2 linked regions of the Oryctolagus cuniculus genome follow. The protein of the gene in region 1 binds, or shares a complex with, the protein of each later gene. Links are inferred from orthologs where the notes say so. Each region holds a gene or a part of one and is shown in the gene's direction. Other genes may lie near its edges.

What was found.
Region 2: CNOT9 (region 1) and CNOT8 share a complex: the UniProt entries of both Homo sapiens proteins name them as parts of the CCR4-NOT complex. The link is inferred for Oryctolagus cuniculus from reciprocal best matches to the Homo sapiens genes CNOT9 and CNOT8.

The regions. Positions count from the first base shown.
Region 1 is NC_091434.1:20,855,403-20,859,666, reverse strand, and holds the start of CNOT9 (CCR4-NOT transcription complex subunit 9), read left to right. Parts: upstream 1-1,450; 5' UTR 1,451-1,633; coding exon 1,634-1,657; intron 1,658-4,264. UniProt on the Homo sapiens protein: Component of the CCR4-NOT complex which is one of the major cellular mRNA deadenylases and is linked to various cellular processes including bulk mRNA degradation, miRNA-mediated repression, translational repression during translational initiation and general transcription regulation.
Region 2 is NC_091437.1:41,749,451-41,753,096, forward strand, and holds part of CNOT8 (CCR4-NOT transcription complex subunit 8), read left to right. Parts: intron 1-2,579; 5' UTR 2,580-2,650; coding exon 2,651-2,767; intron 2,768-3,646. UniProt on the Homo sapiens protein: Has 3'-5' poly(A) exoribonuclease activity for synthetic poly(A) RNA substrate. Its function seems to be partially redundant with that of CNOT7.

The DNA.
Region 1 (4,264 bases):
AGACTCACCCTCCTCTTTTCCAGTTATTAAACATCCAGAATGCCTCAGAGCTGCATCCTAGGTCACTTTTCCTAGCACTAAACTCTTCAGGCAACTTCATCCACACACAGAGCTCCAACTACTGTCAGCACGGCAGATGACACACACACACAGTCTGTGTGTGCAGAACCCCTCTCGTCGGACCTCCAGCTCAGCACCCCCGGCTGCATCCTTGTCATCCTCTCCTAGGTGTCTCTTCAGGTCAGGCTCCTAGGGCACGGCCACCGCCTCCCAGTCGCCCCCCACCCCCGTAAAAATCGTTTACCCGGGGCTGAAATGTTGGAAGGATTATCGCGAAATCACGCTAGGGTAACCATCCAGGACACAGCACTCTCACCAGTTACAGCTTCCTCTCATGAACGACAAGCTGATCGGATGGCCACAGAGGGGAAGCAGCCAAATACACGCCAAAAACGCGATTTACGCCTTTTAATGAAGGGTTAGGCGGAGGCGGGTAAGGAATGGTCATCAGAGCGAGTGTCATGCCCACGGCTTGACGGACAAGCGCAAAGAAGTCACCAGAAGAGCCGGCTGGCCTCCTTGGGGGGCAAGCAGCGAAGGATGACAGTCCCAGAGAAAAAGGGGGTCAGGTTCGGGGTGCGGAGGGAGCGAGTGACAGCGCTGCAGGTCAAAGGAGAGGGGAAGCCGGCAGGGAACAGCCAAGCGGAGTGCCCGTGCTGCCGGGGGGACTTGCAGGGGTTCCGGCGGCCCAAGCGTCAGCCGGGCCAACTCCGCAAGAGTGAACGCCGGGTGGGCGGACCGCACGGGGAAGGGAGCTCCAAAAAACCGACTCCACGGAGAAGCCACTCCGGCGTCCTACCTGTGTCTGAGAGTCCGGAGCCCCCGACAGGCCTGCCAAGAGTACGGAGTCCACGCGGCGCGGGGGAGCCGGGAGGGAAGACGGAAGGGACCTCGGGCCCGAAAGAGCGAGGCCGCTCGCTCCCCCTGGTCAGGGAGAGCGGCTGATGGCGGGAACTATGACCACACGCAAACACGCACGCACGCACGCACGTACGCACACTCGACGCGACCAGAGGCAGGCGCGTGCGCGGTAGCCCGCAAACTCCGCCCCCTGCGCGCCTTCGCCCCGCCCCAGCACCAAACGCGGCCTAGGCCAATGGCCCCGCCCCTGCCGTGACCGTACTACGCACGCGCACCTTCACTTCGCTTCATTCCGTTCTCCCACCATTCCCTTCTTCTCAGCCCAGTCGGGCATGCGCAATACTTGTTCTGGAGGGACGCCCGGCTTTTCCCGCCCTTCACTGGCCTCCGGAGGAGGGTCAGAGTTCACTCCCCTCTCTGAAGATACCTGCCCGATGCCGAGGGGTGCGGGGACTAGTGGGTCGCGGACGACCTTCTAGTCCTGAAATTTAAGGGGCAAAGGACAGACTCTGGGACTGTTAACTCGGCCGAGGGCCGGGAGGCGGGAAGAGGTTGTGTGGGCGGGGTCAGAGGTAAGAGGTCAAGGGGCTGCGGAGGGGGCGGAGCGAGCCGGAGGCGGATGGCGGCTCATCTTCAGCGGCAGAGGCGTTGAAACCGAGACGGGGGGTCAGGCGCGTCTGGCGGAGGAAGGAGAGCGGCGGCCGCTCCCAACATGCACAGCCTGGCGACGGCTGCGGTGAGTGCCTGGAGCCGCCCGGCCTGGAGCCGGAACCCTTCTCGGAGCCCCGCGCTCGGCCTCCCCTCCTAGCACACCGGGTCCGCCTCGGAGCCCGGCTCTTTCCGCCCGCAGCCCGCGAGGCCCTGGCTTGTGGCGGAGCCGGCCTCCGCTGTCCTCGCCGGACGCCTCTCTCGGCCTCCCGCGCGGCTCCTCGCGTTCCGTGTCGGCATCGGGGCCTGCTCCCGCGCGCCGAGCGCCTCCCTCGCGGCCGGGGCCGGCCATTCATTGATGAGTGCGCCCAGCGGCGGTTTCAGGGCTCCGGCGGCAATGCGGGGACCGCCTGGGGCTCTCGGCTCCGGCCCGCGCCCTCGGGACTCGCCGCCTGGGCACATGGCAGCGGGAAGGAGATGATTTCTGGCGCACGCCGCTTGCTTTACGTAGGGAAAAGCCGGGGCCTAGAGAAGGGCTTCGTTACTGCGTCCGACTTAACGTTTAAAACCTCTTTTCGCGCATCTCGTTTTACAAGCATGATGTTTTAACGAGACAAGCGGGTCGCGCAGTTCTCCGGTCTGAGATGAGCCCAGGGCTTCCCGTTGCATGGAGATCAGGTCCAGGCTCCTTGCCACGGCCTTCAAGGCCTTGTGGGATGTGGTCCTTGGTCCTTACCCACGTTTACAGCCTTAGTTTGTGTCGCTTGCTGCTTCAGCGCCAGCTGTGCTGGCAGGTTCCCTAACCCTTCCACCCGCTCTCTGCCGCGCCAGGATGCACTTTATGGTCTGCCTGAAATGCCCTTCCTTCGTACCTCTCCCTCCTTACACACACACACACGCGCGCGCGCACACACACTGGATGTGAGTGCAACTGATTCCTCTTCCCTCGGGTCTGCACCTGAATCTGCCCCCCTCACACCACCTCCTCCCCATTCAAAGCGGTTTGTAGCTCTTAACTCTTCTCTTGCTGGAGCAGCCTTCACGGCACCGATCCCAGAGTGTAGTCGGTGTGTGCCTCTCGAATGTTGGCGGTCTCCCTCCTGAGGGGTAGGGACATGTGGTCTTGTGTACATGATTTCCCCGGGGCCAGGACTCAAACACATTGCTGATTGGAAGATACAGCTGAGTGGGTTTGACCACTGAGAATGCCTAGCCACAGTGGGAAAAAAGAGTATCATTTGATTTGAATACACTGCTCTGAAGGCCAAGTCCACTTTCTCCGTTTCACTAACGGGATGCAATTTAAGGAGAGTAAGGTACTGAAATTGCCAAGATCTGGAAAACACCAAAAATTGCCTTAACTCTAAATATAGAAAGTGAAAATTGAAGCTGCACATGACTGAGCTATGGAAAGGCATTGCCTCGTGAGGTTTGATCTCAGCCTGTCATTGCCAGGGCCAGTGGTATCAGTCTTCGGTCACTGTGCCTCTCAGTGTAACCGTGCAGAGACAGCTTTAATATCTCTCCGGTGATGGCAGCTTCCCTAGCTTTTTTGTTCCTTTTTCCAAGTTGTATGTGTTAATTCAAGAAGAAGCAAAATGAGGATGCTGCTGGTAGAGGCGAGGCAGGAAGAACAAAGGAAATTCTAAGCTTGGCTCGCCCAGCTCTCAAAACCTGATCGAGCCTTCTCCAGCAATCTTACCTTTGCTACCAAGGCACTCGCCCCTGAGCCTCCTGAAACGCTGTAGCCATTTGATGCGCTTTCAAATAAATAAATAGATAATGTTACAAAATAAAATAACAAAGTCCTTAGTGATTGACTCACTGATTTAATAACTTGGTCCCAAACTTCAGCCTTGGCACTCTTTAATTTCTGCTTCAGTAAAGGACCATGGAGGTAGCTTCAGATGAACAGAACTACAGTTCTTCACATTGCCATAGTCTTTGTAATGAATGTTAGACTACTGAAACAGCCAAAGGTCAGCCGTTAGGAGATGTATTTTATATGCACTTTTCAAAAATGTCCAGGGGCCAGTGTTGTGACCCAGCAGTAAACTGCCACCTGTGATGTTGACATCCCCTATGAGTCCCGACTGCTTGTTTGAGCTGCTCTGCTTCCAATCCAGCTCCTTGATATTGCAATGCACCTGGGACAGCAGCTGAAGATGGCCCATGTACTTGGGCCCCTGTCCTTAATGGAATCCTGGGCTTCTAGTCTGGGCTAGAACCAGCTCCTGTTACACCCATACCCCTCCCCTTGGTTGCAGCCATTTGGGTAGTAAACCAGCAGATAGAAGGGCACTTTCTCTCTCCCTCTCCCTTTCTCTCTCCCTCTCTTGCTCTGTCACTCTGCCTTTGAAATAAAAGTAAATACATAAATAATCTTTTTAAAAATTTAAAATGTTTTACAGTAAATCTTACCATCAATTCTAGCATCCTTAAACTCTTGTCTTTCTCTCACTTTCTACCTAGCCAACAGCATCATTAGTCATATCTCCTTAAAGTTGTGGTGGACTCCCAGAATCCTCCTCTTGGGTAAACAGAGCACTGTACACTCTAAAGCAGGGGTGAGCAATGTTTGGCCTCCAGCCTGTACAAGGCCAAAGCAACTGCCAGTGGGACTTGAAATTCAGTAAATCCACAGCAGGCTAGTTCTTAAATCAATAATTTCTGTAACCCATGACTGATGTTATAA
Region 2 (3,646 bases), on another chromosome or scaffold:
CTAGCCTGGCAGTCTCTTGATTATGGACAGAAAGTGGATTTTACTCCATGTTAAGTTTGAACTTTGATTTTCCTGCTCTTGATTTGTTCATTTGAAAAAGCACGTAATAGGCTGGCGCCGTGGCTCAATAGGCTAATCCTCCACCTTGCGGCGCCGGCACACCGGGTTCTAGTCCCGGTCGGGGCGCCGGATTCTGTCCCGGTTGCCCCTCTTCCAGGCCAGCTCTCTGCTATGGCCAGGGAGTGCAGTGGAGGATGGCTCAGGTGCTTGGGCCCTGCACCCCATGGGAGACCAGGAAAAGCACCTGGATCCTGGCTCCTGCCATCGGATCAGCACGGTGCGCCGGCTGCAGCGGCGGCCATTGGAGGGTGAACCAACGGCAAAGGAAGACCTTTCTCTCTCTGTCTCTCTCTCTCACTGTCCACTCTGCCTGTCAAAAATAAAAAAAAAAAAAAAAAAAAAAAAAAAAGAAAAGGCACGTAATAGAACGACCACTAGAAATGGAAAGGATTCTGTCTTAAAGCAGTTTCCACCCATACTTATTACCTGGTCTACATAGGTTGAATAACTAATTTCAGGGAAATGTCTGTGGAAACATAGGATACGTTGAATAAATGAATTCTCAGGGATTGCCAACACAGTATCAGGTTCGTTTCTCAGAAGGTTTTCAGAAATGTGACACCTGAAAATGTCACTTTTGCTTTCTTCTAGATTTTTTTTTAAGATTTATTTTATTTATTTGAAAGGCAGAGTTACAGAGAGGCAGAGTCACACTGAGAGAAAGTCGTCTTTTTGCTGGTTCACTGCCCAAATGGCCTGCATAGCTGGAGCTGGGCCGATCCGAAGCCAGGAGCCAGGAGCTTCTTCCGGGTCTCCCACATGGGTGCAGAGGCCCAAAGGACTTCGGCCATCTTCTTCTTCTTTTTTTTTTTTTTAATTTTTTCTTTTTTTGGACAGGCAGAGTTAGAGACAGAGAGAAAGGTCTTCCTTTTTCCGTTGGTTCACCCCCGAAATGCCTGCTACAGCTGGCACGCTGCACTGATCTGAAGCCAGTAACCAGGTGCTTCCTCCTGGTCTCCCATGCGGGTGCAGGGCCCAAACACTTGGGCCATCCTCCACTGCCTTCCCGGGCCACAGCAGAGAGCTGGACTGGAAGAGGAGCAACTGGGACAGAACCCAGCGCCCCAACCGGGACTAGAACCTGGGGTGCTGGCGCCGCAGACGGAGGATTAGCCAAGTGAGCCACGGCATCAACTGGGCCATCTTCTACTGCTTTCCCAGGCCATAGCAGCTGGATCAGAAGTGGAGCAGCCAGGACTTGAACTGGCCCTATGGGATGCCTGCACTGCAGGCAGTGGCTTTTTCTGCTATGCCAGAGTGGCCCCTCTTCTAGATTCTTATTATTGCATCTGCCAGTCTTAAAAAATAGGAAGCAGAGATTTTCCATGCATTGTCCTTTGGAAACCACTCAATTCATTTTACTGATTCTAAGAATTTTCCCAGTGTACACACACACACACACACACACACACATATCCCTCCCCTGTTACAGTGTATGGAAGATCCATACAGTGGAGTTGCCTTATATGTAAGTGGCCTTATGATAAGTTTCTCTTTTTGGCCTTTTTATAACTCTCTTCTCTTGTTGACCTGATTATAACAATAGCATTATTTTGAGACTAAAAGATGTGCATTTTATTTTGCAAAATACTTTCCCTTCCCCAATTTCCTCCCCAAAAATACACTAAATCATTCTGCTTCTGGTTGAAGGAGTTATACCTGCCATGTTTTCTCTCATTGTTGAATTGCTGCTTAGTTTCTTACAATATTACATGTTTAAATGTAGACATTAGTCATCAAATTTTGATTTTTATTGTGGTTGTTAAGGTTGTTTATTTTCAAATTAGCAAGTAGTTTCTATGATGTAAACCCCTTACTTCATAATCTACTTGCACAAATCCGAAGAGGCACTATACTAAGTAGTTAATTGCTTCCATTTCTGTGAGGCTTGTGGATTGCAGGGAAAAACAATTTTCCCTTTTTGGGGAGTGGAGGAAGGAGACCTATGCCCTTGTTCATGCATTAGTCAGGTGAGACTGGAGTGTGAGTGTTTAGATCCACATGGCTTCAGGCTTTCCGAGATCCCAGGTGGATTTAAAATGGCTAACGTGATTCCTTTAGAGATGTTTCCATGATGTGGTCTCCTGCCAGAGTGATGTGAAAGTCGAGGATAAGGGCACGTTTGTGGTCAGATGTGTTTTAGGGAGTCTGCAGTGGACTGAGGAGTCCTTCAGGGTAATGGTTTCACTTCTTTGCTGAAGGGCAGCTTGGGCAGATATTTCCTTGGCAAATTTCATTTCTTTCAGGTTAAAGAATTCTGTGTGTGTATATGCATGCATGCATGTGTGTACATGTGTACATATGTATTTCTTGAAAAAGGCAGATTTTCCCATGATAAACATAATGCTCCTAGTGTTCTAGTGTAAACTTACGAAGTGATGTTCAAGTATTGTTTTCATGTGTTGTCACCTTATACCAGATTGTAAACTTACATGGTTTCCCAATGTTTTTGAATCCAGGTCAGCTCAAACCTTGTCTGGCTTGCCTTCTGACGAAGTTAGCTGAAAGTGACTTCTCAGGTTTCTTCAGGATGCCGGCAGCACTTGTGGAGAACAGCCAGGTTATCTGTGAAGTCTGGGCCAGCAATCTGGAGGAAGAGATGCGGAAGATCCGAGAAATTGTGCTCAGTTACAGTTATATTGCCATGGTAAGGGTGCTGCTGTATCTCGCTCGCCTTTTTGTCTGCGCTTATGAAATATCTACTGTTTGATTTTGAAAAGGAGGAATTAGTATGTTTTACTAAAGCAGTGGTAAATTAAACTTGAGGGAAGATCATGTTGATATTATAAAATAAGGTAGCCAGTGGCTCTGAGAGGGCTATAAGCTCTGGTATATCTTAGACTTTGTGTTATGTTGCTCAAAGGCTTGAAGCAAGGTAGATCGCCCATAGGGTCCTGTGTTTGAAAAATAATAGATTCGACTTGAGTGTTTTTGAAAATTAAAAAAAATTTGCCACCATTTAAAAATCAAGAGATATTTGAAAATTTGTGGCATTTCTGGAAAACATAGGCAGATCTGGTCATTTATGCTGTACTTTTTTGCCTGACATTAAGTGGCTGAAGAGACAAGTGAGTACTGTGGTGAGATTAAAGGCCTTCTATAAAGAGGCATGTGTGCCCTGTGTTACCCTAGTTCCCATTGCTTGCTGCCACTTTCATACCTTCCTCACTTAATCTCCTGTACACCAGTCACTTTCGAGATTATGGAATTAAGTCTTTACCGTGGTGTACAGAACTGTATGATCGGATTCTATTCTTTTTCACTCAGGCTAATCATGGCTCTTTATTATTTTCCCATATAGTTATTTTCACTTCACCATATTTGTGTTTTTATTGCTATATTGTTCTCAATCTAGAATGTTCTTTTTTTTTTTTTTTTTAAATTTATTTTCTAGGCAGAGTTACACACAGAGAGGATTAGATAGAGATAAAGGTCTTCCATCCGCTGGTTCACTCCCTAAATGGCCACAGTGAGCAGGGCCCATCTGAAGCCAGGAGCCAGGAGCTTCCTCAGGGTCTCCCACGTG